Linked DNA regions of Bombyx mori. The protein of the gene in region 1 purifies or fractionates together with the protein of each later gene. This does not show direct contact. Links are inferred from orthologs where the notes say so. Each region holds a gene or a part of one and is shown on either strand. Other genes may lie near its edges.

Region 1 (3,826 bases):
CGTGGCAAAAAAGATCTCTGGAAACGCACTGTGGATGAACGCAGTGGCTCCAGGTAGTACGGATGAACTCTACTCCGGTGGCGGGCGGTTCGATGGTATCGTTTCGAACAATTCCTCAGAGCACTCCCGAACCTCACCTTATGCTTCAGCATCAACTTCTGGTAATCCGAGGCCATCCTCAACATGATCTGCTGTTCCGTGTTCAGCGCCGTTTTGTTCGTCTTTTTATCGCGAAATTCGCTGATTAGATTGTAGAGAGTGTCGCAGTGCGGGACCCAGCCGATGAGTCCGGAGTTGGGGGAGAGCGGTATGACCGCGTATCTCTGTATGGCGAGGTCGTGTCGGTACGTGTCGGCGTCGGCCCGCAGCAGAGCGTTGACCAATCCGAAGAGCTGCATCACGCGCTCGTCCTGCCGCAGGTCCTCGTGGCCCTTCAGCAGGAACATGTACTGTTTGCCGTCAGAGCCCTGTATGGTCAGACGTCTCGGACGCTGCTTCGACTTGATTACCTGACACAAAAGAATAAGGTTCAAGCAAATTTTAATACGCTTTTATTACCTTCAGACGTGTGTATGTTTGTAACGGAATCTTTGAACATGATTTTGACCCCCTTCAAAACGTCCGATTAACTCGAAATTTGGTATACTTAATAAAAAAATTGAAAAAATTGAAATTCAGCTAAAAAATTAAAAATAAATAATAATTTAAAAAAAAACCAACAAAATACGCTTTTATAGATAATCCAACTAAAAAATAGAAAATAAACTTGAATAAAAAATAGTGTAGAAAAAAATGATTTTATTGTATTATAAAAAAAGGGTATATTTAAAAACACATTTAGTTTGACTTTCGTAAGTTCAAGAACACGGAAACTACCAAGTCTTTGAAACGTAGGAAATGTTTTTTTATTTATTGCTTAGATGGACGTGTGTGAGGCTTAAACAACGAAAGGAAGATCTTCCACCAAGCAGGTGATATTGTTCGGTAGACCGACGGTCCAAATGTTGTTGTTCGGAACTTGTATATTATTATATTCAAGCTTCTTGTCGTAAGCGAGATTCAGGCATCGGTCAAATATCTTGTATTGTATGATGGCTACCCGCCACAGACGGATGGATGAGCTCACAGCCCACCTGGCGTTAAGTGGTTACTGGAGCCCATAGACGTCTACAATGTAAATGCAAACACCCACCATGAGATAAGAGTTCAAAGGTCTCAGTATAGTTACAACGGCTGCCCCACCCTTCAAACCGAAACGCATTACTGCTTCACGGCAGAAATAGGCAGGGTGGTGGTTGGTACCGAGTAGGTACTCGTGTGAGCTCCCGTGATATAACAATATAGAAGTAAGATCAAATAGACAATAAAATATTTATTATAAAAAAAAAGAACACAATTCCTAACCTAAAAGTACATGTTATTATCCATAATATCAAATTATGTTCTGATAATTATTACCTGTCATTGCTAATTGAATATTAATTTGTCAATCACAAAATTGTGCAATCGAATCTGAATATGAAGAGAATTTAAAATGCTATAACGCCCTAATTAAGTTATCACAATTCAATAGAACGTCAAAGCTTAAAGCTCTTCTAAAATTACTATTTAGTTGATGGTTAACGATACATATATTTACGCAAAATCTTAATCAAAAAATTTTTAAAATTCGAAATTCTTGCAAAGTAACTTAGAGAGAGAGAGAGAATACTCTTTATTGCACACCAAAACACAATTTACATTAAAAAAGCAGATACATTTGTACAATAGGCGGTCTTATCGCTAAAAGCGATCTCTTGCAGACAACCGTTTAATTTACAGAAATTCTGGAAAATATAAAAATATAGCAGGTATGTTGCGGTGTACCATAGACAATATATACATACAATTAACAGATATATACCGTTTACATAATATGTATTATATTATAATATAATATATACCAATATACATACTTAGACAATCTGAAATGAAAAACTAACTCACTTTTCGCCTGCGCTATAGTTTTTTAGGCGAAACGGCTATCAGTGTTGATGATACTAATTCGCAACTAAATTCGTACCTGCAAATTGCTGTGTATGTACGAGATGTTAATTATTTTCTGATTAGGCACGTACGAGCCCGGGACGGCCAGCTCCAGGTCCTTGCACGAATGCAAACGTTTGCTGACGTACTGCAGCTCCAGTGACGTCAGCGACCGGAACTGGGCTTGGATGCGCCGCACCACGTGGTAGTACAGATCCCACGCTTCGTTCAGGTACCTCTCTTCGTTGCTCTCCTGTATTAATAAATAATACTTAATATATAAACTCAATGTTGAAAAAAAAATGGCGGATAGAAAGCGATTGCATGCAGCAGAGATGCTAATGTTGCGATGCATGTTTTTTTTTTATGATTGAAGTATTACTGGTGGCCCGGAGGCCGTTCCAGTTTCGCCAGGACAGGTGGGCGACCAAAGGCTCAGCCAGAAGGGGTGGCATTTGCTAACAGCCACCCGAGCGCCTCCGAAGGAGACCTAGGAACTCAAGAGCAATTGCTTCGCGAATGAATCTACTACCGGATCGGAATCGCGACCCGCTGAGAAGATCCGGCGAGAAACTCAGCGGGCTGATGCATGGGTTAGGTTGCACGTCGACCTCTTTGTCGAGTTCGGCGAGTACGGTTACCGGGGTTCCTCAGCCTGCTCTTAGTGTTAGAGCTGAAGGTACCTAATGCAAGAGTTATTGGATCTGACGTGTCTAGGGCGACGACGGTGACTTGCTCCTGCGTGATTAGGATTCGGGGAGCGAGGGATGTGTAGTAACGAGAATGGATAGAATACAGAATGAATATATTAGAGGAAGTCTGAAAGTGGCCCCTGTGACAGAGAAGTTGAAAAGTGCGCGTTTGGGATGGGTATGGACATGTGATGAGAGAGTGTTAACTATGAATGTGGAAGGATATAGAGGAAGAGGTAGACCTAAGAAGAAATGGATGATCCATTTTTTCTCACATATATGTGTAAGAGGGGAGCGAGCGAAGAAATGGTATATGATAGAAGAGTATGGAAGGAGAAAACATGTTACGTCGACCCCAGGTGACTGGGAGAATGGTAGACAAATGATGATGATGATATCAACTTGAATCTTTCAAGTACTTTTCATCATTGAAGGATTACTGGTGGCCCCGATGCTTTTCCAGTTACACCAGAGAGAGAGGTAGCAAAGATATTGGTTAAATAATACATTATAATGTTTAAACCAGGGTTATGAGACCTTATGCCTGTAACAAGTTTACCTTGTATAACTCGCACCAGCGCCGCGCCTCCTGTAGATCGCGTCCATACATCTGCAGGAATGAGACTTCCTTCAACGTCTCCGGAGGGGTATCCAGCATTGCGTGCATTTTGTCCAAAGTTTTAAACATTCTCTTATAATCTTTCTCGCTGAAACAAAACCTGAAATCATCGCCGGAGATTAGTTGTTCAATATTTGGTATATTTATCTAAAATTATCTGTACCCAACAAACCTTGACGCTTCATCGAGTGCTATGTAAACTTGATCGTGCCACAGTATTGCCACTTTGATCAACTCTTCCGAAATAATAGCGGCTTCGTTCACCAGATTCTGTGCATGAATGCACATAGTTTTCAATACGTAGTTGGCGGCGTTTTTCCTGGTCACGAACGATGACTTCGTCGCGACCGTCAATGGATAAACCAGGGCTTGAGGGTGAGATTTTCCGATATCAATCAAAAGGATGTGAACCAGTTTAGCTACGAGACTTCGCGGCGAATCGATCCTGGCTATCAGCTGTGGTATGACCTGTAGCCATATCTTGATGTCG
Region 2 (3,826 bases), on another chromosome or scaffold:
AGAGGTTCGCTAGTGTGTGTAGGTGCACGCACCGTGTCCGGGCAGGGTCCGGGCGTGCTCGTGGTGGCGGGTCCCGGGCGAGGGCGGCAGGCTGGCGGAGTTCCGCGCGGGTTCCGCCACGCTGTCCACTTGGGCGCTCTGTTGACAATTCTAATTTTATAAAACTCATTTATCATTATATTTGTCCGCAAAGAATTCCGAAAAAAAAAAAATTCGATTAAAACAAAAAAAAAATCAGATTCTTACTTTGTTCCACCTTAACAAATAGGTTAATTTTAATTTTAATTTATGATCACATAATAATAATTATTTTTTTATAGCCCTTGTAGTGTTGGCAGACGAGAGTACGGCTCACCTGATGGTGAATGGTTACCATCACCCGTAGACTTCAGCAATGCCAGGGGTAAAGCCATGCCGCTGCCTACTATTTCTTTGTTGCACAGTTATTATATGTAAGCTCTATGTAGGCGGTGTACGTTAGCTTATCGACTCTATACTTCAGTGTTTGGTTGTTTATGCTACAGTATGTAGATATATGTCATTAAGATCAGGGTCCGTCCCCCATGTGTTTTTTTGCCATTTGCTTCATTGCTACATTATAAGACTGCACCGTATTAATTTTATGGCAAACGTCTGGAGCGAGAGGCTGACCTGGTTCGAGATGTAATTGAGGATGTCAGTGGCCATCTGCGCGACCCTGGGGTGCGGCTCCCGGGCCATGGCGCACAGCGTGGAGAACAGCCGGACCGGCACGGAGCCGAACCCGATGGCCGGCAGCGAGTAGTGGGGGGGCCGGGACCGACCTCCCGCCGCGCCCCCGCCGCCCCCCGCCAGCGCCTCCTGCCCCGCCTCCACGCGCCCGGACGGGCCACCCCTGTGCATATTAGGTATTTAGGTGAATTGGGTTATTAAGTGGTACATTTTTGAAATAAGTTTTAATTTTACCTGGTGGTAGGCCTTCTTGTGAGTCCGCTCGGGTAGGTACCACCACCCTGCCTATTTCTGCCGTGAAGCAGTAATGCGTTTCAGTTTGAAGGGCGGGGCAGCCGTTGTTACTATACTGAGACCTTACTTATATCTCAAGGTGGGTGGCGCATTTACGTTGTTGATGTCTTTGGGCTCCAGTAACTATTTAACAACCAGCTGGGTTGTGAGTTCGTCCACCCAGATAAGCAATAAAAAAATATAAAAAATTGTGCAATCTTCATATTAATTCTTACCTATCATTTCTTCTGACCCGTTCTTGTATGTAAACAGCGATGAAGTGTTGTTCAAATATTAACACCAGCCACTGTAATGCTGTAAAAAATAATTATTATTATAAAACTGTAGACTCAAACCTCTTCAAATCAAATAGAGAAGTTCTATTTGATTTAGAAATCTATACTAATATTATAAAGAGGAAAGATTTGTTTGTTTGTATTGAATAAGCTCCGGAACTACTGAATCGATTTGGAAAATTCTTTCACTGTTTGTAAGTTATACTATTCCCGAGTGACATAGGCAGACACGCGGGTACGTACCGGCCAGTATCTCTGCGCGCACGAGCGGGCTGGCGTCGAGCGGCAGGCGCGCGGCCAGCTGCACGCCCACCTGCAGGTCCAGCGCGTTGGCCTGCTCGCAGCGCCCGGCGCCGCCGCACCACCACACGAACGAGCCCAGCGCGAAGGCGCACGCCGCGCGGACCTGCCGCCGCAACATCGTCACATCAACTATTCTTTTTTTTTATTGCTTAAATGGGTGGACGAACTCACAGCCCAGCTGGTTGTTAAGTGGTTACTGGAGCCTATAGACATCTACAACGTAAATGCGCCACCCACCTTGAGATATGAGTTCTAAGGTTTCAAGTATAGTTACAATGGCTGCTCCACCCTTCAAACCGAAACGCATTACTGCTTCACAACAGAAATAGGCAGGGCGGTGGTACTTACTACCACCAGTAAATAAAACCAGTAATTACCACCAATAAAGTTCTTTTAAAACTTAATAAAGCCCCTTAATAAAACTTAATAAAAAAATAAAAATAAACTAATAGAAGGTAAAGAGAAATCGCTTACAGAGTCGAAAATGTTGCTGACAAACGAGCACGACTTGTAAAGCGTACAAAAGCACGTCGCGAGTTAGTACGCTTTACATTACAGGCCGACGAATATGAATATAAGCAAGCAATACTAGGACCCCGTCACAGTAGCACTGAAACTATTCATGTGATGTTTATAAGCCTTGTCAACCTTGTTCGTCACGTGGGCCGTGGGCTCGTCTACCCGGGCACACAATAGTGTAGGAGCATGGACAGCTGCTCCGTGACGGCCCCCTCGAGGGGGGTAACGTATCAGTACCTCAGGCTCAGAATGCTCAAGGAGCGGGAACAGTTTCTCGTGCGCGAGATCTCTGACTCCCGTCCATCGCGCCGCCTCGAACCCGCGCCACAGCCGGCCCAGGCTGATGCAGATCCACTGGGCCAGTACCGGCTCCCTGTCGCCGAGCTGCTCGAGGCATATCGATATCATTGAGCCCTGCCAATCGAAATTTTCATTTAGTTTCATTTCTTACGTACGTCTTGCAGCAGCTGACCGTAGATACACAACACATGCGATGCGGTCCGAGGGCTCACCTGCAGCGCGGCCTCCTGCCCCGCCGGGTAGCCGTCCACGATGCCAGCCAGCACGTAGGCGGCCAGGGTGCGGTGCTCGCTCTGCAGAAACGGAACTATTTCAATGGAAGATGATCCTGATTGAATGCTACGTGCATGGCCCTAGTGTCGCAGGCTATAAGATTGAAACAATTGGAAAGTGTAGTCCACGGGCTCTGATAGACAATCAATCCCATATGAACTATAAGCTCGTCTATCAATTTAGTGTATAGTGTACTTTTCAATCCCATTGTCTTGCGTACCCTCCCCCCCGCGCGGCGTGCACCTTGCTGCGGGTACTTACGTCGACTGTAGGGTCTTGCAGTACGGACAGGAAGTACGTGTGCCCTTTAGCGTTGACTAGGTCCGCTTGACAGCTCTGAAACAATTAATGATTAATTAAGTACAATTAAGAAATACCATTTCGTTTCGTTCTGCACTCAAAATATGTGTAAAAGCATTAATACCGTTTAATTTGCATTTACACTATTTGATTCGCTGAAATTGCCAGCACTTGTTTTTTTGGCCGAGGGAATATAAAATGAACGAAATGTATAAGTAATACAAACCGGATCGACCGCGATGATCCTGGCCCAGATGTAGACCATGGAGGCGCGCAGCACCGGCGCGGAGGCCTGCAGCAGCTTGAGCATGTAGGGGAATATCCCGACGGCCAGCATGGCGCGCACCGCCCACGCGCCCAGCGCCAGGAACCGGCACAGCAGCTGCAGCGCGCGCACCCGGTGCAGCGTGCTCAGCAGCACCTGCAGCACCATCGGCAGCTGCTCCGGCACGCCGCGCCCGCCGCACCCTGCAGCGCACTCTCCCTCACTCTCTCTCTCGCTCCCTCTCCCTCCCTCCCCTAAACTACACTATACCAGTCATAGACAACGGCCTGGCTATTGCTGACCATGAGCACCGGTAACCACTCACCATCAAGTGAGCCGTATTATACTCGCTTGCGGTATTATTTTGGGATTGTTTACAGGCCCCGCAGGCCGGCCCGCCCCCGCGAGCTGCTGTCCATGCGCTACCAAGTGCTGCCGGTTACCACGGTTTCTAGTAAGCACTCACATTTACCGAGATCTAGCCAGACTTGGAAGGCGGTGAGCTGATCCCTGAAGAACGGCGAGTGGGAGTAATCCAGCGGATGTGGAGCCGAAGATAACGTGACCAGCTGGGCCAGCGCCGAGT

What was found.
Region 2: the proteins of TOR1 (region 1) and rptor purify together in Drosophila melanogaster (affinity purification with western blotting; 3 studies listed by BioGRID, with this or other methods). This does not show direct contact. The link is inferred for Bombyx mori from reciprocal best matches to the Drosophila melanogaster genes mTor and raptor.

Annotation. Positions count from the first base shown.
Region 1 is NC_085109.1:10,799,526-10,803,351, forward strand, and holds part of TOR1 (target of rapamycin), read right to left. Parts: coding exon 3,509-3,826; intron 3,437-3,508; coding exon 3,277-3,436; intron 2,279-3,276; coding exon 2,063-2,278; intron 510-2,062; coding exon 138-509; intron 1-137. UniProt on the Drosophila melanogaster protein: Promotes cell and tissue growth, maintains tissue homeostatis and controls responses to environmental stress and aging. Regulates growth during animal development by coupling growth factor signaling to nutrient availability. Central regulators of autophagy.
Region 2 is NC_085123.1:798,149-801,974, reverse strand, and holds part of rptor (regulatory-associated protein of TOR), read right to left. Parts: coding exon 3,707-3,826; intron 3,444-3,706; coding exon 3,202-3,443; intron 3,012-3,201; coding exon 2,937-3,011; intron 2,696-2,936; coding exon 2,615-2,695; intron 2,517-2,614; coding exon 2,340-2,516; intron 1,687-2,339; coding exon 1,524-1,686; intron 1,300-1,523; coding exon 1,221-1,299; intron 875-1,220; coding exon 652-874; intron 139-651; coding exon 33-138; intron 1-32.